Stegostoma tigrinum: one gene and its partners. The protein of the gene in region 2 binds, or shares a complex with, the protein of the main gene of each other region. Links are inferred from orthologs where the notes say so. Each region holds a gene or a part of one and is shown on either strand. Other genes may lie near its edges.

Region 1 (7,997 bases), on a different chromosome or scaffold from region 2:
TATTCTTAAAAATACCTTTATATGCATACATAGTCACTGAAGCAGTTTGGTTCTGTATAGTAGCGTATGAAGAAACAAACACTGGAGTTTGACTCTATCCAACAAACAAACCACAGGCATTTTGTACTTGTACAGGATGATATTTATATGTATGTGAGGCATTGGGAGGATCCGATAACTGAATGGACCTCAATTTAACCTCTGCAGAAAGATTTTAGACGATGGCCTTTCTTGACTGTGTCTTGGCAGCAGCTGCCCCAGGCTTTATTGTGTCCTTCAGCGCGTAGTCCTGGACCTTAAAATGTGCCAGTCAGCAACACTCAGTCAAAGGCAACTCCTTGCTCTGGAAGACCAACAAGTTTTGGGCAGGCCAAAGAGTGTCTTTCACCGAGTTTATGATCCTACAGGCACAGCTGTCAATGTTTGTCTTGGTGTGCAACCTATAGCACAAAATCCTGCATCATGGAGCTGCTCAGGATGAACCTCGACAAAAATCACTGCATCTTTTTTGGGCATACGTGAAGGATTTCACAAGTAGTGCCCTTCTCACCACCAGCCAAGTGATGTCTTGGTGCTTGTTAGAAAGTTCTGGCGTTGAGGCATTCTGCCTAGTGACTTTGACAGTCTGGTCAAGAACAACCTGACAGGATCTACCCTATCATTTCCCTGCAGGATCTCTAGGACACTACGTGCTGACCAAGTCCTGAAGGACTTGTGGTCTCTGTTAAGGACAGGTGGTATGGAATGGCCCAACTATGTGGGGTGTTCTGTGGCAACAAGGCAAGACCCATCCTTTGCAACACTGGGGATGGGTAGCGCCTGTCTGATTGGGATATATAGTGCATGTGAAGAGGGTACTGAACTGGATTGTTTTCCAAATAAATTGTTACCTTTTGTTATAAACTATCCCAGTAATGGTTTATTGAATAAAAGTGTGAATATGCTGCCTGATGCCTTGGCAGGATGTACCAGCCTGTTTTTTTGTACTACACAATGTTCCCGTATCAATCCACAGTTTGTGCCAGTTCACCTAATAATAGCAAGACAGCAATCAAAATTAACCCCATTTTCTCTGTGCTAAAGAGAGTTAATCAGTCCTTTGACCCTTGCTAGGAAGCCCATTTATATGGATATCCAGAGAGAACAGGATCAGACTGTACTGTGGTTTTCTGTTGTTGTTTCTTGCAAACATCTCTCTAGGCTCCTACAAGACTGGCCTCTTCTAGAAACCGAAACTCAATCCAGCACCCACAGTCTTTTTTTTTTATTTAGCTCAGATTTGTGGTTTGATCACCAATGTGTGCACAAATTAGGAGTAGTTTAAATGATTCTCAGAAGTAGTTCTTTTCCTGTCCTCATTCACATGTAAATATATAATTAAGTTAAGTTTGACTACTAAAAGTGGTAACAGTTGCTGGTTTTCACACCGCCATTTTATTTCACAGCAAGTTGCTGGTTCAGCCCTTTTGTAGAATTCTGGTGCCATTTCTATACAGCTTGGATTCTCTACATTGTAGTTTAGGGTTTCTGAATTCATTGTTACAGCTTGGCCTTATAATACACTCAGATTTCTATTATTCTGATCTCAAATTTGAACAAGACATGAGACACAATTTAAAGTCAACCTCCAAATTAATCGTGCTATTATGATTCTCAAAACCTTGCACTATTTAACATGAGGGACATACTTAGACTTTCATTCACTATCATCTCTTTAACTCTTGACATGCATCGTTATTTAACTTAAGTAATTAAATTGAATAATTAACTGAAATATCAGAATTTGCAATATCAAAAAGTCACAACACAAAGCATCCACACTTGTCTCGAGAACGTAACACTGTCTTAGCATCAACATGATAACTGCAAGCTATTCAACAATGTCATAAATCTGTAGATTATTTATTATATGCTTCAGTTGTGCAGGGCAAAATCAGTATGATCTATCTAAATGGTAATGAAAATGATACAGCATTACAAAAGTGCTAAAAGCTTTTCATTTTCAGAGTTGCAATTCATCTAAGTAACAGTGACTGTGAGACTATTACTGATTTGTTATGAAAACCCTTGTGGTACACTACTGTCTTTTAGGGAAGGAAATCTGCCACCTTCAGCTGGGTTGACCTACATCTGATTCCAAAACTACAACAATGTGGATAACTCTTAGCTACCCACCTAACACGATTTAGTGAGCCACTTGGTTATCACCACTAATGTCTCAATGATAATTAGGGACGGACAGCAAATGTTGGTCTTCCCAGTGACACACACATCCCCTGAAAGAAAATAAAAAGAATTCTACTTAAATGTTAATGTATGTGTCTCATAATCAATGATTGTCACTACTAAACTCCATTCACTGTGTGTTTTGGAGTCAGCAGTAGACGATGTGAAGATATTGCTTAGCTTGTGTGGTAGACTTATAACTCGAGACAAGTGGAGTTAAGGGAAAAGAGGCAGTATGAAAGCAAGCTTATCACAAAACACCCATCATGAGATGTGAGTTAAAACTACTTATTCAGATTGTCAAAAATGTGGGAAGCGGTCTTCCACAAAGTGTGTTGCTAGTATCTCTCACAGGTTCACAAACATGAACACAATTAGTGGTACCAAATTGAATGTGACACTAAATTGTTGGATATAGTTAATACTGGAGGATGGTGACAATACAAGAAGACATTAATAAATAAAACTTGCAGAATAGGTATGTAATTGGCGCACAAACTACAATGTAGGTGGGGGTGTGTTAGAATGTTTTTGTAGTGAAAACTAAGGAGGCAACATACTCCCTGGGAAGATACAGTTTAAATGGTGCAGTTAAACCTCGATCGAGGGATGCAAACTTGAAAATCGCTCAAAGTAGTGCAACAGATTAATGAGGCCATTAAAATGCAAATTAAGTTAAATATTTACTCTTACCTGCCTTTGCTGTTCAGAATTTTTAATAAGGCTGGTTCAGGCATGATCTTCCCTTTGGAATCCATAGAGACTGTGTTTATGACTTTCAGATTCTTGGTATTTTTCCAGATTATCTTTGAGTAGAGTATAATCTCTCTTATACTGTTGACATGCGGTTAATTGGCCACTCATTCTTGAAATGTTACACCTACTACTTGACTGCTATACACAGAAGATCATATTACAGTCCTTTTATCTTATTTATGATCCTGTTCAATATTTACCTTGAAACTTTTTTATTATATTTTTGTTACTTCCTAGACACTCCCCTATACTTAGCACTTAACCATTATAATTAATATTTCCCATCGTTAAATTCATCAGTGCTTCCTTCCTTGTTTGGCTTTTTATATCATAGTAAAATTTCTGTTATATGACATATCACAAAGTAGAATGCTCCATCAACTAGCACATTTGATTTCATCAATCCATTGTTCGTCCCCTGACCACCACCACCACCCCCCCTGCCCCATAGTATGCTGACTGTGTTTTGATGGATAGATTTGACAGTTCATGCATTAGAGTCATAAAGACATACAGCATGGAAACAGACCCTTTGGTATAACCAGTCCATGCTAACCATTGCCGTAATTTCAAACTAAACTTGTCCCACCTGTTTGTTTGTTCGTGGTCCATATCCTTCCAAACATTTCTTATCCATGAACTTATCTAAATGGCTTTTAAACATTCTGACTAACTGTACCTGCATCTACCTCTTATGCACACAAACCACTCTATACCCACCAAAATGCCTTCTAAATGTAGTACCAGCCTCCACTACTTCCTCTGGCAGCTTATTCCTTACACGCACCACCCTCTGCATGGAAAACGTTGCCCCTTAGGTCCCTTTTAAATTTTTCCCCACTCCCCTTAAACCTATGCCCTCTAGTTTTAGACTCTCATGCCCCAGGAAAAAGACTTTGTCTATTCACTCTATACATGCCCCTCATGATTTTATAAATCTCTATATTGTCACCCCTGTGTCTTCAATGCCTCAGGGAAAATGGCCCCAGCCTATTTAGCCTCTCCCTATAGCTCAAACCCTGCAACTCTGGCAACATCCTTGTAAATTTTTCCTGAACTTTTTCACAACATCCTCCCTATAGTAGGGAGACCAGAATTGCATACAGTATTCTAAAAGTGGCCTAACCAATGCCCTGTACAGCAGCAGCGTGATCTCCGAACTCCTGTACTCCATGCTGTGCCCAATAAAGGCAAGCATACCAAACCCCACCTTCACCACTGAGTTTACCTGTGACTCCACTTTCGAGGAACTGTGAACCTGCACTGCAATGTCTCTTTGTTCAGCAACACTCCCCAGAACCTTGCCAATAAGTGTATAAGTCCGCCCTGATTTGCCTTTGCGAATGCAGCGCCTCTCATTTATCTAAGTTAAACTGCATCTGCCACTTTTAGGTCCATTGGCCCATCTGATCAAGATCCTGTTGTACTGTGAGGTGATGTTCTTCTCTGTCCACTACACCTCTACTTTTGTCTTTTAAATCTTTCTCCTGTCACCTTAAAAAATTGTCCCCTAGTCTTGAAATCCTAATCTTGCAAGTTGATTCTGATCATAATGCTTCTTTGTAAATCCCATGTGCTGGCATTTTCACCCACATCAGTGTCCACATTAAATGCTGAATGTGCATTTTTAAACTTAGAAATAGGGCTTGACGTTCTTCCTGTAGCTCTATGTTATTATGACTGACAGTATTTGCCTAAGATATTTGTGACCATTAAACCACAATCCTGTTTTGAGGATTGGCAGTTATTTTAAAAAAATGCAACAAGCATCAAAGTAAATGTATAAAATGCCAGCACTGTCAACCAGAATGTAAAAGAACTGGTTGCATTTGGTCCCTCAAATACTAACTGCTGAGTTAGCTAGCATTTTAGATTTGCTGGCACCAGCTGATCCCAGTGTGTGAAAGAAAATATGGATCTTGCAGTCTCTGTAAGAAACTGCACACATTCTTAAGAACTCCAATATGTGTACATATGCAACAAAAGACTTCCAGACTTTACAAAAATGTTTTATTGTAGATCTGTAGTGTAGAACAAACTCCTGTTTCCCCCTTTTCCTTCTGAAGCAAACATCCAACTGGGAAAGAACTTGGCTTTTGAAAGTTTAATACCTATCAACCTATTTTTTTAAATACTCTCCATAATAACAAGGGAGGGGATTAAATAAAAATAATATCAGAGGAAGAAATAATGCACTGAAAGCCTTGCAGTGTACGTTTCTCTCTCAATGCTTCGAGAATTCAGCTTTCATTTTTGAAATATCCAATGTCCAATCAACTAAGTAACTAACAAATAACAAACACTGTCAAACTGTTGCACCAACAAAACGAAAAGATGGGGAATTGAGGGTAGGAACTAAATTGAAATATTGTTGGTGGAAGAGATAATGAATTCCAGCCTAAGCAGTAGCTGTCTTTTTCTAAAAGCCTAAAGAACTTCATTCTTAGATATTCTTTAATCAATCTGTTTAGACATGTTATGACACATCTATATCAGAGGTATGGTTACTACCACTTCACCACGAAAGCCTTTTAGAACTCAGCTTTTTTTTTCATACCTCCCACCAACTCACCTGTTTCAGAACTCTACTGTCTTTTATAATCAACCTGCTCAGGGTTGTGACATGCTTCTGGAGTGGTTGGGAATTGAATCTGGGCCTTCCAGCTCAAAGGGAAGGACACTATCCCTATCACCAAAAGAGCCCTAAAGATCTCGGCTGATTTTTTTTTTGAAATCCACCTTCAAATCAACCTGACTACTTTAAATATTTTCTTATCAACTTGTTTGGAAATGAGAAGGTTCCCCTTTTTTCCTAAAAAAAAACCCCCTACCAAATCACCCAAGCTATCAACTAAACAGCACTTGAACAACACTGCCTACAGGGGTAATGTAACAACAACAAAAATAGGGGAGGGGACTAACGTGCAGTTAGAAGGGGATATAATGCATTCCAGCTGCTCCCCCCCACTTCAAAAACCCCAGAACCTAGTGTCTGCCGCTCTGAAGGCATTAAGTGTGTTGCGCCCTCTCACTGAGGACATCCAGACCCAAAGTTCACCACTGGGGCAGGCAGGCAGAATTAAAACCAACTAACCTGGATCTGTTGATAACCACCTTGGCCGCGCCCTGTAGGAAGTCCCCTGCTGTGCCCACACTCCTGGAGACTGGGTGCCCAAAGATCAAGAGCGTGGGACTGATGTGCAATCAAAAGAGCAGCAAAAGATTTCTAAGGTAATTCAACTGGGTGCAGTTGCCCACACCCAACTTATACATGGCCCACAGAATCCAAAGCAGTGAATGAACAACAGATTTGGGGGTCCGTAGGTTTATGGTTTATGATTGCTTTGGTGTGCTGTATGCAAACACTCACTATGCTAGGCCCCATTGAGAAGTTGGCCTTTTTTTTAGTAATAATTGATTAGCTCAGACCCCTGCTGCTTTGCTTCAGCCTGTCCAGAGATGGTGTTGTGTACCACTGGAACTGGTGAAAATTGAACCTAAGACTTCCTGGGTCAGAACTGGGCTTTTTCTTTTTTGTCAAACCATTCTGTGCAGATATGTTACTGAATATGTCTGCAGCAGGTGGGATGTAAACCCAGGCCTCCTAGATCAAAGGTAGGGACACTACCATTGCACAACATGCACTCTTAGAACCGAGCACTTTTTGATAACTCTCCACCAATAACTAGTTGAAACAACTAAACAATAACAGTTAACAAGATCCTCCCACAATAAGAAGTGCAGCAACTACGAAAATAGGGAATGTAGGAAGAGAAGGAGCAGAAAATAATTCAGTCCAGCCTCTGCAGTGCTGACCTGTCTCAAATCATGAAGATGTTGGTGTAGAACCAGTATTTTTTATATCTTCTAATCAATCTCTTCAGAGTTGTTATACTCACCTCTAGAGCAAATGGGGTTTGAACCTGGATGTCCTGGCCCAGAGGTAGGACACTACACTATGCTGCAAGAACCCTTCATTGAGTCAGACTTATGCAATATTGACACAGACCCTTCGGTCCAACTTGTTAACGCTGACCAAATGTCCTAAACTGATCTAATCCTGTTTGCCAGCATTTGGCCTATATCTCCTTAAACCCTTCTTATTCATATACCCATCCAAATGCCTTTTAAATGTTGTAATTGTACCCACCTTCACCACTTCCTGTGGCAGCTCATTCCATACACGCACCACCCTCTGTATGAAGCTTTTTTGTTTAAACCACCACCAAACCAGCTGTGTCACTAATTAAACAATTAATAATTTAGAAGCAATGCCACAAAGTTTAGTACAGCAAAAATAGGAGAACTAACTTATTGCTTTTGTATAGCCCACAACCAAATCATACGTAGCAAGAATGCAGCTGTTTTTCAGAGCAGCCTGTTGAGATGTTATCACACATCTCTAGAGCAGCTGTGAGTTGAACCCAGGCTTCCTGGCTCAAACACCACTGCTGTATCACATGAGCCTACGAACTCAGCCTTTTTCGTTTTGAAAAGATATTTTAATCATCCTGTTCAGAGATGTATTGCATATTTCTGGAGTAGGTAGAACTTGAATCTGAGACTCCTGGTCCAAAATCCAAAGTGGATCACCTGTTGTCGTCAGTCCCTTGCCTGTTTAAGCCTGTAAGGGAATCTGCATTTCTAACTGACATTTTATGCCATTTTATTGAAGGGTGGTTAAATTTCCCGTGATTGATTATTCATCCCTGTCTCAGACTTCATCAGTTAAGCAATGAACTGATAAATAAGAAGTTGCTTACAGAAAGACACATCTGAAAATATACATTCTGTTTCAGAGCTTTCTCTTCTAGATCTATTTTCTGTTTGTTACGTAACAATCTGTTGTGCTCCCCCTCAATGCCATCTGCATATTAACTTCTCCTGATCCAAGGTTAGGTCTTTTGGGTTTGTCAGTATATGTGTGACTCGTAACCTTTTTGAGGTTCATGCATCTACCCATTCTGAATGAGGTCGCCATTTCCCACTTGGATACTATTGTACTCTTGTTAATT
Region 2 (7,889 bases):
TGTTCCTGGCAGATGCTCAGAGACAGGTCTCTGAACTGACGGTTCAGAGAAGTGAAAGTGCCATCTGGCGGGAAGTCAGGTATTGGTGGTTGAGTCGATGCATGTAAATCTGTCGTTCTTTGAACAAAAAGTTTTTTTTAAATTAAAAATGAACTATACTGTTAATGTAAGAGATGTGAATGTGATCTCGATCTTGTAAATACCTGTCACAGATTAAAGATTTTAAATGTGTAAATACAGGTGTATAAACATTCAGATCAGTCTGCAATGCAGAGAAATTATTAATCTGTAATCTCAGTACCTGGAATAAATACTGTGCTGTTTCTGGACATTTAGTTGTGTCTGTGTTTATTTCAGTTGGAACAGTGTTGATTAGATAATGAGTAATTAGAGTAAGAGGAATCTTCTATAATTTTAAATCAATCTCATCATCTTTAGTGTCTCTCACCTAATGTTTTCCATTTACCTGTTGGCTGTTTTATTTCATAGGAATAGGAGTCCATTCAGCCATTTGGCTCGACCCACCATTCAATATGATCATGGCTGATCGAACATTTCAATGCCTTTCACCCACCTAATCCCCATAACTCTGCACTCCATTGATAATCAGAAATCTATCAATCTCCACCTTAAACGTACTCAAAGACTGAGCTTTCGCAGCCCTCTGTGGTAGAGAATTCCAACATTCACCATTCCAGTGAGTTTAAAAAAAAAAAATCCTCCTCTTGGTTAATGAAGACTATATTACCTTGGCTACATATGGAGCAAAGAGATTGTTAAACTTGTGTAAGCACTGGTTTGGCCTCACCTAGGTTACTGCATCCAGTTCTGGACACCACACATTTGGAGGTATGGGATGGTATCAGAGAGAGTACAGAAAAGATTTGTGCGAATGGTCCAAAGGATCATGAACTTAAGTTCAATAGAGGGGAGAGGTTGACCCTGTTTTCCTTGAAGAAGGGAAGGCCGAGGAATGATTTGATGAAAGTTTCATCTAAAAGAAAAACATGAATCCAGACAACCATAAATATGGAAAACTATTCCCACTTGGGAAAGGATTAAGATTGATGTCCTGTACACTCAAGCAGGATAAGTCCAATCCCACCCAATCAATCTTCTTGCGATCATCAGTAAAGTGATGGAAGGTGTCATTTTACAGTGCTACCAAGCAGCACCTACTCAGCAATAACACTTTGGGTGATGCCCGGTTTGGGTTTTGCCAGGGCCATTTAGCTCCTGAAATTGTTACAGTCTTGGTTCAAACATGGACAAAAGAGCTGAGTTTCAGAGGGGACGTTGAGTGACAGCCCATGACACCAAGGCTGCAACTGATCAAGTGTGACGTCAAGAACCTCTAGCAAGACAAGTCAATGGGAATCTAGGGGAAAATTCCACTTGTTGGAGCCATAGCTAGAAGAAGGATTATTGTCTTTGTTCGAAGTCAGTCATCTCAGCTCCAGGATACCTTTGCAGGAGTTCCTCAGGGTAGTGTCCTATAGCCAGCCATCTTCAGGTGCTTTATCAATGTTCTCCCCTTCATCAGAAGGTCAGAAATGAGATGTTCACTGATAATTGCACAATATTCAGCACCATTCATGACAGATACTGAAGCAGTCCATTTTCAAATGCAACAAGACCTGTACATTATCCCAGGCTTGTTCTGATATGTGGCAAGTAATGTTTACTCCATACAGATTCTAGGCAATGATCATCTCCAATAAGAGACAATCCAAGCATAGCCCCTTGACATTCAGTTGCATTACCATCACAAACTCGAACTATCAACATTCGCGGAGTTACCATTGATCAGAAACTGAACTGGACTAGCCATGTATATACAGTAGTTAAAGGGAGCAGTTCAGATGTTGGGCATCTTGCTGAGAGTAACTCATCCCGAGACACGTTAAAGCCTGTCCACCATCTGCATGACGCAAGTCAGGAGAGTGATGAAAGATCTCCCCACTTGCCTGGATGAATGCAGCTCCAACCACACTCTAGTTGGACAAAGCAGCATGCTTGCTTGGTACCACATTCACAAGCATCCAGTCCTTCTACCATCAATGTTCAGTAGCAGCAGTGTGTACTATATACCAAGATGCACTGCAGAAATTCACCAGCGATCCTTAGATAGCACCTCCCAAGCTAGCAACCACTACCACCTAGAAGGACAAAGGCAGTAGCTACATGGGGACATCAGCACCTGTAAGTTCCCTTCAAGCTACTCACTCCATCCTGACTTCAAGTTTTATCGGAAGTCCTTTTATGTTGCTGGGTCTACTTCCTGGAATTCTCTGTCTAACAGCATATTGGATCTAATTACAGCACATGGATTGCAGTGCTTCGAGAAGTCAGCTCACCAGCACCTTTGAGGGCAGCTTGGGCTGGGCAATAAATGCTGGCTCAGCTATTGACACCCACATCCCATATGTGAACAAAAAAAAAATTGAGGGGGCACAAATTTCTGAAGTAATTGGCAAAAGTAACAATGGCAATATGAGGGGGGAAAAATACATTTTACAGCGAGCTGTTAGGATCTGGAATGTGCTGTCTGCAGAATATGGTGGAGGCAGGTTCTAAAATTAGATCACTACCTGAAAAGGAATAATGCACAGGGTTACAAGTAAAATGCAGAGGATTGGCATTAGATGATCAGAGAACCAGTATGGACACGATGAACTGAATAGACTTCTCTAGCCATTCTGCTTTCTATGAATGGAGTGTCCTACTGACACAGCTCCACTAGTCATCAAGTTCACTCAGATCTATCTGCATGGGTGAAAACAGAGTGGTTGCAAGTGAGCCATGGCACTAGTGTCCTATGTGCCCAATGCATACCATCCATGTTGGCACACAGGGGTTACCCCTCCCTTTCCGTGAGGGCACCTCGTCCCTCAGGGCACGATCACTCCCTATGTCACAGGCCACCTGAGACACAGCAGGAGTGAGAACAGTGTTCTGGCCTATATATACACCTGACTTCAATTTCATTGGCAACTGCCAACATATTACTCCGTCCTTGATGAAAAGCACAGGTCTAAGTGTGCTGAGAGAGTGAAATTTTCTGCTTACTCAATGCCAACGTGAGGGGGCAAAGTTACTATGGAACTGCTGCTTCCTGCCAAATTCAAATATACCCCCACAAACTAAGATGTGGGAAGAGTCACATACTCAGCAGTATGTTGCTTGTATGACTATGTCAAAACAACTCTGCCACAGGCAGTGAGACTGAAGAGTTGGTTAACGTACTTTTTTATAACACAGAAGAAAGTAATTACATTCCTCCAGCAAAAACCTGGATCAGCATTTGTCCTGTGTGAGGCATTCAGTTCGAGGATTGCAACATTTTGAATTGTTGGAAAAATGCTTCAATGCTTCCTGGTCACAAAAAAAATGTATGAGTACAATCTGGCCAATCACACTGGTCTCAATCATCAGCAATGTGCTGAAAGTGTTAACAACAGTACCGCATGTAGCATTTGATCAGTTTGGTGTCTGTCAGAACCACTCAGCTCCTGACATCACAATAAGCATAGTCCAAACATGAGCAAAAGGACTTATGGAATGCCTACAGTGCAGAAAGACACCAGTTGACCCATCAAATCTGTACCAACCATCCTAACAGCATCCCACACAGACGCAGCAACCCCTCCCCTCTCACACCCCCAATCCCTGTAACTGCATTTCCTTTGGCTAACCAGCTAACCTGTATATCCCTGGGCATTACAGGGCAACTTTTGACTTAGCTAATCCACCTAACCTGCACATCTTTGGACCGTGGGAGGAAACCAGCAGAAACCCACATAAACACAGGGACAATGTGCAAACTCCACACAGACAGTCACCTAGGCTGGAAATGAATCAAAGCCCTGGCACTGTGGGGCAACAATGCTAATCACTGTGCCTCCCTCCAGAGATGACAGTATCCGCCTTTGATAATCAAGGAAACATTTTGCTTTATATGGTTTGAAACAGCACAAGAAATCAGGAGGAAAGCTCTCCACTGTCTGGAGTCATACCTGGCACAAAGGAAGATGACTGTAGTTGTTGGAAGTCAAGCATCTCAGCTTCAGGACATCACTATATAGTTCCTCAGGATAGTTTTGTAGGCCCAAACATCTCCATCTGCCTCAGCAATGACCTCACATCCATTATCATGTCAGAAATGGGAATGTTTGTTTGCTAATGATTGCACTATGTCCAGCATCATTGGCAACTTCTCAGACACTGAAGCAGTCACATGTTCATTTGCAACAAGACCTGGACAATATTCAGGCTCGGGCTGATAAGTATTAAGTAACATTTGCTCCACAGAAGTGACAATTAATTATCAGAGTATCAAACTACTTCTCCCTGACTTTCAGTGACACTGGCATCACCATCTTGGGAATCTGCATTGCTGAGTTCACTGGGAAAGTTATATCAACATAGTAGTAACAAGGGCAATAAAAAAAATCAGGTGTCTGTGGAAAGTTGGTCCTGACTCCTCAAATTCTCTCCATCATTCTGCAAAATTCATTCTGTAAAACTGTAGTCCAAACATGCATTTAATCTCCCCAGACTAGAGAACCCATTTTCCTGCCTCCTATCATTTTACTGCACAGACCAGCCCTTATCAAACCCTCTATGATTTCACATTTATCAAGTGGGCCGGAAACATTAACTGTTTTCACAGAAGCTGCCTGGTCTGCTGCATATTGCCAGCATTTTCTTCTGATCGGTCTCACTCCGCTCCCTGGCCCCACCCTTCCAGCAACCCCGCCCACTTTTAACAACGCCCCCACAGCGGTAAACCACGCCCCTTTCCGGGTCGGCCCTCCGTGATTGGTTGTTTGGATCCGGGCTGTGATTGGACGATGCGTTACCGGATGCGGATTGGTTGCTGTTGACCTTTGGCCCGCGGTTAGTGGCTTGGCGGTTGAACGATGAAGGTCGGGGATGTGCGTTTCATTGGCGATGAGGAGGTGGCGGAGCACATCATCGAGAAACTGTCCGGTGAGCCCCGGGAGAGATACGGGGAAGCAGGCGTTAGAGAAGGAGGGAAGACTGGGGGATCTTTCCAAAAATTTGTACCCTCCCCCCCCATCATTTTCCCCTCCCCCCCGCCTTCCCCCTAAGTCCTTCCCCAGAATCTCATCCCACACCCCCTGCCTTCCCCCCCCAAATCCTACCCCAGAATCTCATCCCACACCCCCTGCCTTCCCCCCCCAAATCCTTCCCCAGAATCTCATCCCACACCCCCTGCCTTCCCCCCCCAAATCCTTCCCCAGAATCTCATCCCACACCCCCTGCCTTCCCCCCCAAATCCTTCCCCAGAATCTCACCCACACCCCCTGCCTTCCCCCCCCAAATCCTACCCCAGAATCTCATCCCACACCCCCTGCCTTCCCCCCCCAAATCCTACCCCAGAATCTCATCCCACACCCCCTGCCTTCCCCCCCCCCAAATCCTACCCCAGAATCTCATCCCACACCCCCAAATCCTACCCCAGAATCTCATCCCACACCCCCTGCCTTCCCCCCCAAATCCTACCCCAGAATCTCATCCCACACCCCCTGCCTTCCCCCCCCAAATCCTACCCCAGAATCTCATCCCACACCCCCTGCCTTCCCCCCCCCAAATCCTACCCCAGAATCTCATCCCACACCCCCAAATCCTACCCCAGAATCTCATCCCACACCCCCTGCCTTCCCCCCCAAATCCTACCCCAGAATCTCATCCCACACCCCCTGCCTTCCCCCCCAAATCCTACCCCAGAATCTCATCCCACACCCCCTGCCTTCCCCCCCAAATCCTACCCCAGAATCTCATCCCACACCCCCTGCCTTCCCCCCCAAATCCTACCCCAGAATCTCATCCCACATCCCCTGCCTTCCCCCCCAAATCCTACCCCAGAATCTCATCCCACACCCCCTGCCTTCCCCCCCAAATCCTACCCCAGAATCTCATCCCACACCCCCTGCCTTCCCCCCCAAATCCTACCCCAGAATCTCATCCCACACCCCCTGCCTTCCCCCCCAAATCCTACCCCAGAATCTCATCCCACACCCCCTGCCTTCCCCCCCAAATCCTACCGCAGAATCTCAACCCACACCCCTGCTTTCCCTCCAAATCTTACCCCAGAATCTCAACCCACACCCCTGCCTTTTCTCCAAATCCTACCCCAAAATGTCAACCCACACCCCTGCAAAGATTCCTCCCCCAACTCCCCTCTGTATTAAATCCTTTCCCACTCTCCAATACCTTGTTAAGGTATGCCTAAGCCTGGATCTCTCTCAAGTGATACCATGTTCTATACACATTTATATCTTCTGCATCAAAAAAAAAGATGCTGGAAAAGCTCAGCAGGTCTGGCAGCATCTGTGGAGGAGAAACCAAAGTTAACGTTTCGGGTCCAGTGACCCGAGTTCTGAGGAAGGGTTACCCGACCCGAAGCATTCACTCTGTTTTCTCCTCCACCAGTGCTGCCAGACCTGCTGAGCTTTTCCAGCAACCTCTGTTTTTGTTCCTGATTTACAGCACCTGCAGTTCCTTCGGTTTTTATACTCTTCTGCATATTGTTCTTCCCTGATCCTTTCAACCACCTGAGGACTGACTGAAACATTTTGTTGGAAAATGATTTCTGGCATCCTACTGTTTTAATGGGTTTCACGATGACTTACTTTACAGGAATTAATCAGAAGAACAATGTGCCTGGGACATTGCTAAGCGTGAAGCGGGCTTCCCAGAAATGGGAGAAGACAGAGCAGTCTCAGGAGAGTTTGGAAGTCTTTAATGAGCGTGATTACGTGGAGGTGCTTGGAGCAGGTGACTCAGGTACTGGCTATACTGCAGGCCGTACTCTATCTTGCTAAGAGAGTGTAGCCAATGGTGTCTCTGTGATTACTCAAGGTATGCCTAACCCTGGATCTCTCTCAGGTGATACTACATTCTCCTATACACATTTATATCTTCTGCATCAAAAAAAAAGATGCTGATACTCAAGGTTGTGAAACAAGACCAGGTCCAGAACCTATTACTGGAGTGTCAGGCCCCAGGTATTCACTTGTGGAGTAAGGAAGCTCCACAATTTGATATAAACGTCGGGAGCCTCGAGCTGAAATTGCACAGTTGTGCTGCTGCTGCGGTTGTGAAGATGGTGCAATTGCTTTAGCAACTCGAACTGTCCTTGTAGTTGCAGGTTGCCATGGTGACTTGAATGATGGGGTGTCTGCAGCTGGCCGAGATCTTTTCACCTTTCAAACCGCCAAAAGAGCAGACAAGATGGCAAAGCTCGGTGAGTTTTGGGGACCGCGTCTTGTTAGGGATGGGTAACTGTGCAGCGTTTGGAGACGAAGTGAGAAATGTGGTTCGTAGGTAGCGACGTGGGCCTCAGAAACAGGAGGCGGCGATGCACTTATGTAGCTGTAGAGACCCGATGCAGGTGCAGTGACTGCGGTTCATGATTTTGGGTGGGTGTGGGGTGCTGTTCATAGGTACAGGGAGAGCTGTGAAGTGAGAATCACCAGAGCAGCAGCTGACTAACTGAACTGTGAATCTATTGCCAAAAGATCAACAGTGTCATTTTGTTGACCTCAAACTGTCTATGTGTCAAAGGGACATTCCCATCTTTTGACGTTGAGAGTTATCGGAGAACATTTTCAAATCAGCATGGGCTTTGATACAGAGCTAAGCTCACTCTACACAGCCTCATCAAGCACACAATTCTGGGGTTGTGCGTGCGTGTGTCCTGGGAGAGGATGGCTGGGCTGAGGGCGTTGTTGGGGGCTGCTGGGGACAGGAACGACTACTCTCCCTGGAGGTTGCATGGCAGATGAGACCATTGATATTTAAAATGTTTACTTTATCCTGTTTTGACTCTCAGCCTCCGAACTGGCCCAGACTCCGAGAAA
Region 3 (6,866 bases), about 64 Mb from region 2:
TTCTCCCATTGTCACCATTGGTCTATGGCAGATGCCTTACACTCAACCCCAGAACATCTGAATAACAAGGACACCTATGTCCGACTCCCATTTACTGGCTTGAGCTCTACCTTCAACACTAATTCTAGCCAACCTCAGCTCCAAACCAGAGACCTAGCACTCGGCTTTCCCCTTCTGTAACGGGATCCTGATCCACAGTCTGCAAACTGTAAGGACAGGCGACAACACCTCCTCCACAACAATCCTCAACACTAGTGCCCCACAAGGCTGCATACTCACCTCCTTACTATACTCCTTAAACACTCGCTACTGTGGCCAAATTTTGCTCTAACTCCACTTAGATGTTTGCTCATAACACCACTGTAATGGGTTGGATCTCCAACAATGATGAGGCAAAATACTTGAAGACGACAGAGAGCTTAGTGGCATGGTATAAAAGGCAACAATCTCTTTCAAATGTCAGCAACATGAAGAAGTTGGACATCAACTTCAGGAAGTCGAGTGCAGGACATGCCCCTGTCAATATCAATTGTGCTGAGAGGAGAATGGTCGAAAGCTTCAAGTTCCTAGGAATAAATGTCACCATTTATCTATCCTGGTCTATCCACATTAATGCTACAGTCAAGAAAGCACACCAACTTTTCTGTATCCTCCAAACTCGGAGGAAATTTGGAATGTCCACATGAATTACCAATTTTTATAGGTGCAGCATAGAAATTATCCTATCTGTTTGCATCACGGTTTGATATGGCAACTGCTCTGCCCAAGACTGCAAGAAATTAAATGAGTTGTGAATATAACAGTCCATCACACAAATTAGCCTTCCTTTCACTGTCTCCATCTGTACTTCTCCCTGCCCTGGGAAAGCAAACAATATAATCAAAATTCTGTCCTACCCTAGTTAGACTCTCTTCCACCCTCTTTCATTGGGCAGAATATTCATAAGTTTGAAAACACATAGCAACGGATTCAAGAACTGCTTCTACACTACTTATCAGAGTTTTGAATGAATCTCTCATACATTGAAGTGGTTCCTTCTCTGTTGCTATTACCCTGATGTCAGATATGATTTGTCTCAACAGTAGTTTTCACTATTTCAGCACATGCGACAATAATAAATTATGCCATAATAACCCTCACGTTAAAATTCACAAAGAGCAGAATATATTCAAATTAAGAAAAAAAAAAAATCACAAGGCAATTTCACACAAAATATTGTTCACAGACAACCATGAAACGAACTTTGCGGCAACTGTAACAAAAACTAAAAGCAACACTGACTAAATAATAGAGGAACCCAAGATTGAATTGCAGAATTTTCTTCCATCTTGAATTCCTCAGATAATAAAACTCCAAGGTCACAGTTTTAATCATCATCTAATTTCTGCAAAATTAATTTTGACAGCAACTAGTTCAACATAATACTGAGCTTCCATCCAGTCCTCTTCTCTCTATTTCACCAATGTGTAACATCAAGTAACCATCAGATGATGCTTCTCTCAGTTTATAAAGAAATCCAGAACAGAAAACCAGCAGCATGACCCTGTCCAGCAATTCTTTCGCTGACTGCACCAGGCTGAATCCTCTAGATTCCCTACATTGCTACAGGATGTGCACCATTGATCAGAGGCTGCTTTCCTTCCGGCATTCTGCTTGGTCGTCAATAGAAAGACACATTCTTCTCTTAATTACATTCGGCGGCAACCGTTCAAGTGTGCATGAAACACTTCTTTCTGAAATCTGAGACAGAATGTCTGCCCAGAATCAACCCCAGCAGATCTTTGTATCAGGCAAAAAAATTTTCTACGTTGCTCTTGTCTAACCTCGATTTGGACGACTCCCATTTCGGTTACTGAACTGAACAGATTACAATATCTCCACTAAACAATTTTACCTTGAACTAGGAAACGATTTCAAAATAAAATCGCTTTATACCGTATCATTCACGACGTAATTTGTTTTACGTAAAGTTAACTCGAGGATCGGATTTATATTCGACCATCAAATTACGAAAGAACACACATTTTAAAATTGCATATAAAGTGGTTCACGACATTTGATTTAAAGGCAGGCAAATCCTTCTAGTCATTTCAGCAATTACAATGATACATTTACCGTTGAAATTCGACAAGCAGAACCGTCCGTGTCACTAACTACCCTCAGTAATGAGTCTTCAGAATTCAGCGAAAAAAACCCAGCGATACCTTCCTCCAAAAGTGCCCAATGAGGTAAGCTCGCTGACGAAAATCCGCCGATGAAACCTGCAACATGAAAGAAGGCATTTGGTCCGCTAACAAGCATCAAGAGTCGATAGTGACAAATCATGCGATCAGAAAACGAAACCATGAACACGTTACACCAAATACAAATACAAACTCTACGTCGTGGAACAAATACAGCGTTTATTGTGACACAGGCACAATCAACAGAAAATGATGGAGGCATCAGAAAGCTCCCATAAAGAAAGGGGAGGATTATATTGTCCAGATTTCAAGTGCGGCTCCTTCATCAGCCTCTCCACCACTACTTTACCGTCTCCCCTAAAAAAAAATTTAAAAACCCAAGACCAGAACACGAACAACAAAAATTGAAAATTTCTAGCCGTTCGATGAGGGGACGTCGGAACACAGAACAAATGCGTAAACCCTTGTGATAGAACAAACTGCTGCCTCCCAAGCTTTTAAAAAACCCTGAATAAGATCAAATACGTTTTAAAAGAAAAAAATTCTAAATAAATAAAAGTGCGAAGAACACATAACAGGCGACAGGTGATGGAAAAGCTAGAAAACAACAGGTGAGTCAAAAATAAGGACCAAGAGTTCTGAACCTAGCGTGATATATAAAACATAAATAACTTTGTACACAAAATAATAAAAGCACCATATTTAAAGTGCATCAGCCAGACCACAAATACCTGAGCGAGGCCCAGTGGCTCCAACGATTACTCAGGTAACCACGACTCCTTTTATATAGTCCCACCCACCGCCCTCCGCTCTCTGACCTTTGATGACCTCCCACCTACACGTCACACGACAGGGTCCGCCCTATCTCCCCTTCCCCGGAGCATTCTGGGTAATTGTGTCTTGGGACATGCGCAGTGCGCCGGGTATTTTCAGCTGCAGGTTTTTTTTCCTCTCGTTCTCTCTTGCCCCGCTCCCTCTGTTTCTCTCTCCGTGGCTTTATCTCTCTCCCACCTTCTGTGTTTCCGAGTAAAGCCTCCATAAAGTCTCCAGAAATAAAGCGGCCGATTCTCCTTTTTGTTATTATGAGTCTACATTCCCAACCGGATACATCCCGAGCGTCTGAAAAACTTCCTGGATACCTCCCTTAACAACCAGCCGACCTCCCGGGCCTGGCCAGCAGCCTTTTAAGTGCCATTTCAGCCCTTTATTACCCTTTGTTTTTGAGTTTTTCTGAAGCGAAAGCTTTGGAGAGGAGAGAGTTAAAGGTAAGTGGTTGCAAAGCAAATCTGGCCTTTTTTATTTAAAAATCCGTATTTTATTAAAATGAAGTGCAGATTTTGGAGTATTATATAAATATATCGCTGTGTTGAGAATGAAATCTTATTGAAGTTGGGAGTTTAGGGTATAATTTTTTGATATGTATATTGCAGGAGAGGGACGTTGCTGGCTCTTGAAAATGGGGTTTAATCTGGTTTAAAGCCTTCTATTTATCCGCCCCCTCTTTGCTGCTGATGATGATGATGCTACGTTGCAGGCCACGGCCATGCGTGACTGCTGTTTACAACAGTCCAACTTCAGCTCTTGTGGGTATCAACCCCGCAGTAATAAGAAGGGTTGTTCCATCCTGATGCAATAATGTGTTCGTATTTGGAACCTCTGGAGAGTGTTTGGAGTAGGGTCATCAATATGGTACACGAGTTCTCATCGACTGGTAGTTAAGATACCGTCATGTTTGTGATTTTTCATATTTTGCATATTTATAGGCCCAATAGGATGTGGAGTACAATATGTAGCGTTTTAGCCCTAAAGAAACGTTTAGAGTTGAAGGATTTCAGTAGTTTGGTCGTCTTGCACGCCACTGTTATATTTTTATGACAAAAATACGTGAAATTAGTGTTTTAACAGTGCACTGATAGCTAGAGTTAAAGGATGCAGTAACTCATTGTGTGGATAAATATTTTAATTTTTCAATGTAATTGTTGAAATGATCCCTCAATGTGAATCTGCTTTTCCTTGAAAAAGTGCTGCCTTTTTTAAAACAAAGAAACTTTTAAATCATTTTTAGATGCATGTGAGAGATGTATTTCGAATTTGTATGTTGTGTATAGCAGCAAATAATAGTTTAATAGTTTAAAGTTTCATGTTAATGTTCTGCAGTTTTGCTTGTTTTGAAATGAGAAATTCACAATACTTTTTTTGCAAGTTGCTGAAATATGTTTTGTGTTTGTGAGTACTATTAATATCTTCTGTAGGTCTAAATTAAAATTTAAAATTATTAAACTTTTCCACATTTCTTTAAGTTTTCCATCTCTTATTCTCCTGGTTTTTGCTCTACATGAGTGCCAGTAGGCTGATTTTTCTACTCCTGGAAGGAAATAATAGATGTAATGGATGTGTTTGACAGGTACGATCTCTTTGGGGTTTAGATGGCTCCAACCAGATATAGTGAGGGAAATTTGAAATCAGATGGACCTTGTGTTTTAAATTTGGTAATCTGTTACTTAAACTAATCGGGTCTGCATTATTTCAACACGCTGTTAATTTGACCAGCCAACTTATGGCTTTCAAAAGATTGGACTTATTATTGTGCTCTGACGTTTCTGCCCATTCGACTGCAAATAACTGTGAAATAGCTCGATATGTAAGTTGGTCCTTGCTCAGATGAGCATTTGTGATGAGTTGCAACTTTTTAGCCTTTGCATGTACTTAAGAGTCCCTAGGCCTTCGTTTTGTCCTTCTGTACCGATCTTCATTGGTGTTGAGTAAATGGGAAGTATGTCTGAAGTGAGCATTGGGCACACAGAAACCTTAGAGTTTTGTCTGTATTTTTCAACAGCTTGATTTGAAGACTGTTCCTGCCATTCCTTAGTTAGGAGACTTGATGATTGAAAACTAAAATCATTAATTTATTTTTGTTCTTTAAAATTTGCCAACTCTACAGATCTGAAAAATAGATATAGGTGGTTTTAGCTGAGAGTACTTCTGAGTACTTTAATTTGGTTTCTTATTCTGCTTTTCATTTTATTTTAGCTCAAATGAGTGGTAAACATTCTTGATATAACAATATATTGTCAAGTTTAATATTCCAAAATGACTTATTTTTACATCATTTTTACTTCTACGTATGTCAAGTGGTTCAGTTAGTTTTGATCAGTGTTAGTCATGGTAAATAAATTTAACAGAATTATTGATACATGTAGCAATGTTTATTATTTTTCCAAGTTTATTAAGCATATGTTGCGTTTTCACTTTTCATAATCAGGAAATTTTAAATGGAAGGTTGGAAATTTGTGAAGCTTTTAAAACTTGCATAAAACTTAAATAACATGCCTTGGAAAAGTAGTATAAGCATCTGCATATATATTCTTCAAAGTATGTTATTCCTGTTTTAACTCTTCTGAATGACCTGATGTTCATTTAACACATGTTCTCCTATATGTGTTATGATTAATATATGCTATCTTCTGTCAAAATGAAGACACTTAATAATTGATGGTACAATCTTTAATGGAATGCACGCTAAGAAATGATTCTCTTCAGCTGGGGCATTTAAAATATGGGATGACAGCTATAGAACAAGGGGTTGGGCACTTTGGATTAAGGTGAGCAGCAGTTTCTTCACTCAGCCTTTAGGAATTGCAGAGAGAGAGAGAGAGAGAGAAAGAGAGAGATGCAGATCCTCTGTCATTCGGTATGTTTAAGACAAGTGTCGATGGATTCCTGGGTTACAAAGGAAATTCAAGATTGAGTGGATAGTGTGGGATGGCAGAGTTGAACGAGATCTTGATGGATGACAGGCCAAGTTTGAAGCGCGACATTACCCATTCCTATTTCATATGTTCTTATGTGTACACCAACCTATATTAGATCATGTTGTTTATTTACTAATGTAACTTTGCCTTACTCAAGTCAGCTAATGTTCATTGCTCAGTTTGGTTTTGTTGTAATTATATTGCCACAGCAATATATCTAGAGACTTCGATCAACATTTCTCAACACTCCGATTTTATGCTCGGCACAGTCTTTATTTTGGGGAAAGACAGAAAGGACATACAGACTTAAGAGAAGTAGTTGAGGTTTCAGATTGACCTTTTGTCAGAACTGAAAAAGTTAAATGCGTAAAAAAAATTTAAGGAAGCTCAGTGGGAGAGAAAATGGGAAGTGAAGACAAAAAGGATGATGGTGCAAGGGCAAGAGTAAAAAATAAAACATGTTCTAAAGGTGGTGAAAATGGGGATAGCAGAATCATCAACAATTTTTGTTTTTGTCCTAAAAAATGAAAGCAATGTGAAATTGAAGAAGGTCTGTGGAGTCTGGTAGCTATGAAGTACCTAATCAAAAGATAAGGGGTTGTACGTTGAGCATTGAGAGGTCATCGTGGGGATCAAGTGGAGAAATGAAAACAGCCGTAAACATTGGCACTCATATATGGGCAGAACAGTGGTGTTCCACAAGGAAGTCACCCAATCTATAATTATTCCAACATAGAAGGAGCCACATTATTTCCAGCAGACACTAAATTGAAAAGTTTCAAAAGAAATTGTGTAGATGAAGCATCTGGATACTTGGAAGAAGGCAATGGCAGAGATAAAATGGCATAATTATGCTTGCTTGATGGGGAGGTTCTGTAATGAGGAAAAAAATTGTTCCGTCTCTGTTGTCCCCTTTTGGTTTCCATGTCAG
Region 4 (6,845 bases), on a different chromosome or scaffold from region 2:
TTCCAACAATAAATGTTTTATAAATTAACATTTTACTTTGTTAAAAACACAAAGTTGTGCTACAGATTAACTAAATTAAAAGCAGTCAAAAACTGAAACAGCTCTACAGAAAAGATTGTACGAATTCTTAGATCACAGACCACTCTGAGTGTATGTCTGAAGTGTGGTCATGACAAGAAGGTTGTAAAATCAGTTAAGCAGCACCAACCTGATATTGGTAACCCTCAGGTTTATGCCAATAGGCAGAGTGAAACAGCAAGGAATTTTTTAAAAACGTGCCGATACGTTTTCAATTAACGGAAGTCTAGGTGTTTTAAACACCTTTAAAATCACAAAAGCTCCATTTCACAGTTCCTCTTTTTTTTTGACAAACGCATTTGCCATTTCCTTTTGATAGCTGTGTTGACAATTATAATAGACTCAATGTGAATGAGCTGCGCACCTTTTGTGTACATTCATGTCTACTTTTAACAAGTCGAACACACACACTTTACCTCTCCCAAAGGGCAATTTGACTCTACCAAAAGGTCTCCTTGCACTATACCTAAAGGGATACCCTACCTTTCCAAAAAGATATTCTCAATATAAAAACAAATCCACAAACTTTAGACCTCTAAACCAGGAGAATCCAAGATAACAAAGTGTATAGCTGGATGAACACAGCAGGCCAAGCAGCATCTTAGACGCACAAAAGCTGACGTTTCAGGCCTAGACCCTTCATCAGAGAGCCATAAAAGCTGACGTTTCGGGCCTAGACCCTTCATCAGAGAGGCAAGTGGCTTTTCACAAACCTGAGTCACTGCAGAGAATAGAGAATCTGAGATAACAACGTGCAGAGCTGGATGAACACAACAGGCCAAGCAGCATCAGAGAAGCAGGAAAGCTGATGCTACCTCAGAATAGAGAATGTTGTTTTTGGGCTGCAGTGGGTGGGGTTAATTGTCTGAGTTTTGGGCTCCTTTGCCACTTTCACAATGATGAAGAGATTCTCTTTCATTTCAAAGATCCAGGTCCATGTTGAAAGATATTTAATTGGCTTTAATGCGCTTTGGAATATCTTGAGGTCATGAAAGCTCTAAAGAAAGTACAAGTCTATAATTTTTGTATTGTATGGTTGCTAATTACTGATTAACTCGAAATTGACAACAATAGTAAGTGTGCAATTTAACACAATGTTTTACTCATAATAGTGGGTGCTGATAGCCAGATGTAAGTCCCTCAGCCCACAGAACAATTTACAGTAATTAAAACACAGTTTATTTCTGATATCAACAACATATCTCAAGAACAAGAAACTCTTTAATCTTTACTATTACACTGAAACACACCCACAGCTGATTCAATTCAGGATAATATAAAGTTGAATTAAGTTTGTTGATGCTAATTGATGTTGCTGAGAAAAGAAATGGATACGGCTGAGCCAAAATCTAACAAACAGAAATGATGCAACTGACTGGAGCTGTAGCTCTAACATTTTAAACGAAGGACCCTTTGCTACTAGCTCTCAAAGTTCAACACCTCTCCCTTTCGATTAAGATCAATGCCACAATCCTGTAAAATATGAACCATTTTATATAACTTGGGTGCCTCCTCTTGATGAAGGCAGACAGATTATGACATCTATTATCACCTACAATGTCCCAGCTCAGCCTATGGTGTATTGAAAAAAGTATCTGAGAAGCAGAGATCTCAAATATGAAACTAAGATCATGGTTTGCTGAGCACCAGTGAATACCACACTTTCATGCTTTGGAGCATATAAAACATGTAGGAAGCAACTGAGAACATCGTTCAAGTACCATCAGTGGAGCTTTCGCAAGGTCCTCCAAATCCAGTGACAATTCAATAGCAATGTCCTGTCTGAAATCATTATATCCAATATCAGAGATAATGGGAACTGCAGATGCTGGAGAATTCCAAGATAATAAACTGTGAGGCTGGATGAACACAGCAGGCCAAGCAGCATCTCAGGAGCACAAAAGCTGACGTTTCGGGCCTAGACCCTTCATCAGAGAGGGGGATGGGGAGAGGGAACTGGAATAAATAGGGAGAGAGGGGGAGGCGGACCGAAGATGGAGAGTAAAGAAGATAGGTGGAGAGAGTGTAGGTGGGGAGGTAGGGAGGGGATAGGTCGGTCCAGGGAAGACGGACAGGTCAAGGAGGTGGGATGAGGTTAGTAGGTAGCTGGGGGTGCAGCTTGGGGTGGGAGGAAGGGATGGGTGAGAGGAAGAACCGGATAGGGAGGCAGAGACAGGTTGGACTGGTTATGGGATGCAGTGGGTGGGGGGGGGAAGAGCTGGGCTGGTTGTGTGGTGCAGTGGGGGTAGGGGACGAACTGGGCTGGTTTAGGGATGCAGTAGGGGAAGGGGAGATTTTGAAACTGGTGAAGTCCACATTGATACCATATGGCTGCAGGGTTCCCAGGCGGAATATGAGTTGCTGTTCCTGCAACCTTCGGGTGGCATCATTGTGGCACTGCAGGAGGCCCATGATGGACATGTAATCTAGAGAATGGGAGGGGGAGTGGAAATGGTTTGCGACTGGGAGGTGCAGTTGTTTGTTGCGAACTGAGCGGAGGTGTTCTGCAAAGCGGTCCCCAAGCCTCCGCTTGGTTTCCCCAATGTAGAGGAAGCCGCACCGGGTACAGTGGATGCAGTATACCACATTGGCAGATGTGCAGGTGAACCTCTGCTTAATGTGGAATGTCATCTTGGGGCCTGTATCCAATATCAAGGTGTTAATCACCCAAAATTCTGACTGAGTGCAGGGACAGAACATTTTGTTCATAAGCCAAACAATATTCACTTAAAGCTACTGCTCTACTTGGTAATTAGTGGTAGCAGGAGCAACCAACCCCACCACCCCCTGCAGGAGGACAATGAAAATACTTTAGGGCAAACCTTGAATGATTCCGAAGAGGCAAAGTGTCCAAGCAGACTCATAGAAATCCTTGGCTTGACTGACCAAAATAGAGATGGCTCAATTGGGAAAATACCAAACCCATTAAGGGGAATGAATAAAGGTAGTCGAGGAGCCAGAGATGTGAGTGCACAAATCTCCCAACAGCTCATCTCTCTACCCTTCGAAGCACACCTACCCCATTTGTCACCGAGTCTGAAAAATGGACTTGTCAGCTACCTCAGGACCCATTGAACACAAAGTGAAAGCAAATCATCCACAATTCTAAGGCACTGCTTATGAAAGAGACAAAAATTCAATCAAAGGGAGAATGACATTGAAGACTAACTTATCACTCAGTAACCATGGTAAACATCATGAACAAAAAAAAACGCGAACACTACTCAGATATATTTAAAACCAATCAACTTTGACATTGCTGAAGATTGCCTTGTTTCTTCAAGCAAAACTTCCAAGACTAACTATACTACAAATAAGGCTGTGCTATTTTGCAGTCTATGAGTCCTGCCTTTTCATTCCTTTTTCTGCGCCCACGTTCTTCCTCAAAACCTATTAGATTTCTGGAATAAAACAAAGAACTGCAGATGCTGGAAATCTGAAACGAAAAACGTAAAATGCCAGAGAAACTCAGCAGGTCTGAAATTGTAACTTTTTTTCTCCACTCATCCGGCCAGACCTACTGAGTTTCTTCTGAACTCTTTCTATTACATTACTAACCTTTTTGCACAATTCTGAATTAAAGATAACTGAAACGAAACGCTGGCTCTGATTCCCTTCTCCACAGATGTTACTCGATCTGCTGAGAACTTCCAGTATTTTGTTTTCGTTTCTTAAATGAATTTGGGTTCCTCCGCCCACAAACTACAAGTCCCAGTGTGCTGCGTGTTCTGACACCTGCGCAGTAGGATCGCGGGTGGTGGGGTGAAAGTTCATGGAAGGAGGTTTTGGCGCGTGAGAGTCCGATTAACCCGGGAAGGAGACGGTATTGGGGTCGCGTGGTAATTTTGACTAATGGTTACGGTTGGTGAGTGCCGGGCTAGTGTGGGGAAATGACCCCGTGCTTTCCGCGGATCGAACAAAAGATTGCCAGGTGATTTCAAACCCGTTGGAGTATGAAGCTGATTTTAATCTGTGACGTGTTTTTCTTTTAAAAAATAATAACAATTCACATTAAGAAGATTTGGTCCAAGTGAGGAAAATAACAAGTAAGACCAAGTTAGCGGCCGCTGTAGGTGGTTGGCTTTTTTCTTAAACGATCCGTTAACTGTTAAATTGTTTAAAGCCTATGATGCATTCCCCAAAACGTTTTGGCGTCTTAAATGGAATCAGAAAGGTGGATTCACACGAGAGTTTTGAGTTTTTACACAAAATGTTTTTAGATTGAACAACTTCCCTCCCCATATGTTTTAGTTGCAAACGTTTTTATCTTTATACAGGCAAATTTTAAAAATAAACACTCCTATAGCTTTCGTGCTGACAATTCAAAACAGCAAGGGGAATTGGTGTTCTGCCGAGAATGCTCACTTTTGTATTTCACTCTGGAGGAATCCCAATTTGTTTCTTCTATCTTAATTGCCTGGTTTTTACATTTTTTTTGCTTTTTAAAAAAATTTTGTGTATTTCTGCTATGCTCCACCCTCTTACAAACTTTCCCTCTGATTATATTTCCCACCATAACTACTCATTCCAGCCCTTGACACTTTTCACTTGCTGAAAACTTGATGCACTTTTTCTTTTGTCCTACTCTGATCGGAAACATCTGAGATGTTTACTTGGTTTTGCTCAGCACATGTTTTGTCAGGCCTGTTGTATTTCCAGCATTTCCTGTTATTTCAAATTTCTGCCATCTGCAATTTTTTTTCTTTGTTTGAGAGACAGTAAATAATTTTCTGATGCATGCAGCTCATTTTTACTTATGATGTAATGTGAACTATGTTGCAACTTAAGTCTTAATGGAAATTTTGGAAATTACTGCTGACTACAAATATTTAAGTAAATGTTTGAGCATTTGGATGCAGAAACATGACCGATTAAATCACAAATCAGAATTGCCTACGATTGCTTCGGTTTCAGGTTTGTTGTATTATTAATTTGAAATTCTCATTCTTGTTTCGAAATTCCTTAATGTCATTGCTTTACTTCCATGCTCTTCTGACTCTGACTTCTGTGCACCGTCTTCTCTCTTTGCCCAACCGTTGGTGAATTGCCTTCAGTCCTCAGCTGTAGAGATTTCTACTTCTAACTGCATCTAACTTCTAACTTTGAACTTTTTGAGATGCGTACTAAATCTTCCACCTCATCTTTCAAGTGCACCTCATGATGTTTTTGTTTTGCTGAATCTGATTCTATGAGGGTATGCTTTAGCATATTTTCTGATGCTTAAAAGTATTATATAATTGCTCATTGTAGTTACGAAAGTGAGGAAGAATGAGGCTGCAGATCGAAAAAAGTCTACAAATTAAATAATGCCACATAAGACTTGATTCATTGAATACCGCATATGTTTTTATTTATACTTCCTTATCAATCTGTTTGGAGTTGTCATTACACATCTCTGGAGCAGATGGGACTTGACGCTAGGCCTCCTGGCTCAGAGGTAGCGCTGCACCACAAGAGCCTTTTTAGGCATCTTGTATACATTTGCAGGATGCAGACACTAATCTCCTGACAGGATAGCCCAAGAACGGGATCCGTGTTATGCCTGTCCTCTTGTCCTTGAGGTAGCCATTACTGTACTGTGTCTTTATGACTGAAATTTGCAGTCCGTTATTTTGTTTGCAACCTGATTTGCTATTATTCAAAAATGGAAGCCTTTTATTATGAAGGTTTAGGTGTCCTATTTGTTCCAAATGTGATAGATCTGTTTCTATCAACATTACACCATAGAAATTATTTTGAAAATGAATAGTGTAGGTAAACAAAGTATCACATTCTTCAAAGCATCAATAATTGCGTAAGTTGATACCTATACGAAATAGTGAGAATAATCTTTCAATATGTTTAATTTATATTTTATAATCTAAGGGAGAACTTTGTTCCTACAGTTTGTAAAGATGTCTAAACTTAATCATGGTGAATATCCAGAAGACAGAATCCTCTTACTGAAAGAGAAATTGATTTGTCGGGATCCTCAGATTTTAACTCTGCAATCAATACTGGGAGAGGTAATTTTGTATTTTAAATGAATTGGCTGAATTTTGATGCCATATTGTTAGGCCAAAATTCTGAGGTGGACCTTTGCTGTTCATGCCTTTGAGGGATTTACATGCATGCTTAATTTGTGCCCAGGAACGACCATTGTAAGGAATAAAATGGATAACAGTAAAGAATGTAAATTGATTCAGTAATATTTATTTTATATTGTATTAATGTAAACATTCAATTTTGTTCAATATTAATGAAATGATAAAGCAACTACAACACTTAATATTGAATTCCTTCAAAATCACGAACCTCCATCTGAATTACCAAATGATTTGTCCGAACATCCTGATTGGATAACAGCATGTGGACCTTCATCATCGTCTTCATTATTGTTAGCATCATTGTTATTGGATTCCTGTGATAGATGGTGTAATTTTTTTCACACTTGTTCTTGCATCTCGTGCATCATTTGACATTGGCCTTCAATTCTGAAATCTCATTGTTCTTTGCATCTGCTGTCAGTGCAGAGTTGGTTGGTGCTGCAGTCGATAATACAGCAATTTTACCAATGCTTGTTAACTCATTCTGCCAAGTTTTTCTTTAGTTTAAATTAGGCTTTATACTTGTTATTCTGTGTCAAAGTTATCATGATAGATTATGTTGTACATTAGTCTTATTGGATGGGAGATAATTGGTAGAAAAAATCTGAAGTTTCCAGGGTGCTTTGAATAAATACAGTTCATTAATTTACTATGCAATACTAATAATCACAGCCTATCTTT

The links.
Region 1: the proteins of orc2 (region 2) and lrwd1 are in contact, whole or in part, in a crystal structure (PDB 8SIU), measured with the Rattus norvegicus proteins. The link is inferred for Stegostoma tigrinum from reciprocal best matches to the Homo sapiens genes ORC2 and LRWD1. Residues at the interface, in NP_001012003.1 of Rattus norvegicus: Val11, Pro12, Ser13, Val14, Gln15, Phe16, Val17, Gly18, Asp19, Val22, Leu23, Ser24, His25, Ile26, Leu27, Asp28; in XP_038945348.1 of Rattus norvegicus: Pro262, Leu263, His264, Phe265, Leu266, Gln267, Cys268, Ser270, Asn273, Ser274, Pro275, Leu320, Val321, Leu322, His323, Lys324, Tyr325, Lys326, Leu367, Val369, Gly372, Phe373, Cys374, Pro596, Pro598, Val599, Ala600, Val605, Ile630.
Region 3: the proteins of orc2 (region 2) and orc4 are in contact, whole or in part, in a cryo-EM structure (PDB 7JPP), measured with the Homo sapiens proteins. The link is inferred for Stegostoma tigrinum from reciprocal best matches to the Homo sapiens genes ORC2 and ORC4. Residues at the interface, in NP_006181.1 of Homo sapiens: Asp501, Asp504, Tyr508, Ser512, Gln518, Glu522, Val554; in NP_001177808.1 of Homo sapiens: Lys168, Asn169, Arg195, Glu200, Leu201, Lys204, Arg205.
Region 4: the proteins of orc2 (region 2) and orc5 are in contact, whole or in part, in a cryo-EM structure (PDB 7JPO), measured with the Homo sapiens proteins. The link is inferred for Stegostoma tigrinum from reciprocal best matches to the Homo sapiens genes ORC2 and ORC5. Residues at the interface, in NP_006181.1 of Homo sapiens: Val240, Glu241, Tyr243, Phe244, Glu245, Ser248, Asp396, Gln398, Arg401, Gly402, Glu403, His426, Asn428, Ala429, Pro430, Leu431, Met432, Trp433, Asp434, His435, Gln438, Trp445; in NP_002544.1 of Homo sapiens: Asp324, Lys325, Phe328, Leu329, Leu359, Asp360, Arg361, Ala364, Tyr367, Ser368, Ala378, Asn379, Phe381, Ser382, Gln383, Thr385, Ser386, Thr389, Asp400, Gln401, Leu402, Asp403, Tyr407.

What each region holds. Positions count from the first base shown.
Region 1 is NC_081380.1:9,118,185-9,126,181, forward strand, and holds the start of lrwd1 (leucine-rich repeat and WD repeat-containing protein 1), read right to left. Parts: upstream 3,010-7,997; 5' UTR 2,920-3,009; intron 1-2,919. UniProt on the Homo sapiens protein: Required for G1/S transition. Recruits and stabilizes the origin recognition complex (ORC) onto chromatin during G1 to establish pre-replication complex (preRC) and to heterochromatic sites in post-replicated cells.
Region 2 is NC_081360.1:19,756,134-19,764,022, forward strand, and holds the start of orc2 (origin recognition complex subunit 2), read left to right. Parts: upstream 1-4,881; 5' UTR 4,882-4,922; coding exon 4,923-4,992; intron 4,993-6,638; coding exon of another isoform or gene 6,639-6,666; coding exon 6,667-6,813; intron 6,814-7,171; coding exon 7,172-7,273; intron 7,274-7,861; coding exon 7,862-7,889. UniProt on the Homo sapiens protein: Component of the origin recognition complex (ORC) that binds origins of replication. DNA-binding is ATP-dependent. The specific DNA sequences that define origins of replication have not been identified yet.
Region 3 is NC_081360.1:83,672,378-83,679,243, forward strand, and holds the start of orc4 (origin recognition complex subunit 4), read right to left. Parts: upstream 3,007-6,866; 5' UTR 2,915-3,006; intron 2,262-2,914; 5' UTR 2,116-2,261; intron 1-2,115. UniProt on the Homo sapiens protein: Component of the origin recognition complex (ORC) that binds origins of replication. DNA-binding is ATP-dependent. The specific DNA sequences that define origins of replication have not been identified yet.
Region 4 is NC_081378.1:23,172,462-23,179,306, forward strand, and holds the start of orc5 (origin recognition complex subunit 5), read left to right. Parts: upstream 1-3,839; 5' UTR 3,840-3,943; exon of another isoform or gene 3,944-4,124; intron 4,125-5,963; 5' UTR 5,964-5,972; coding exon 5,973-6,083; intron 6,084-6,845. UniProt on the Homo sapiens protein: Component of the origin recognition complex (ORC) that binds origins of replication. DNA-binding is ATP-dependent. The specific DNA sequences that define origins of replication have not been identified yet.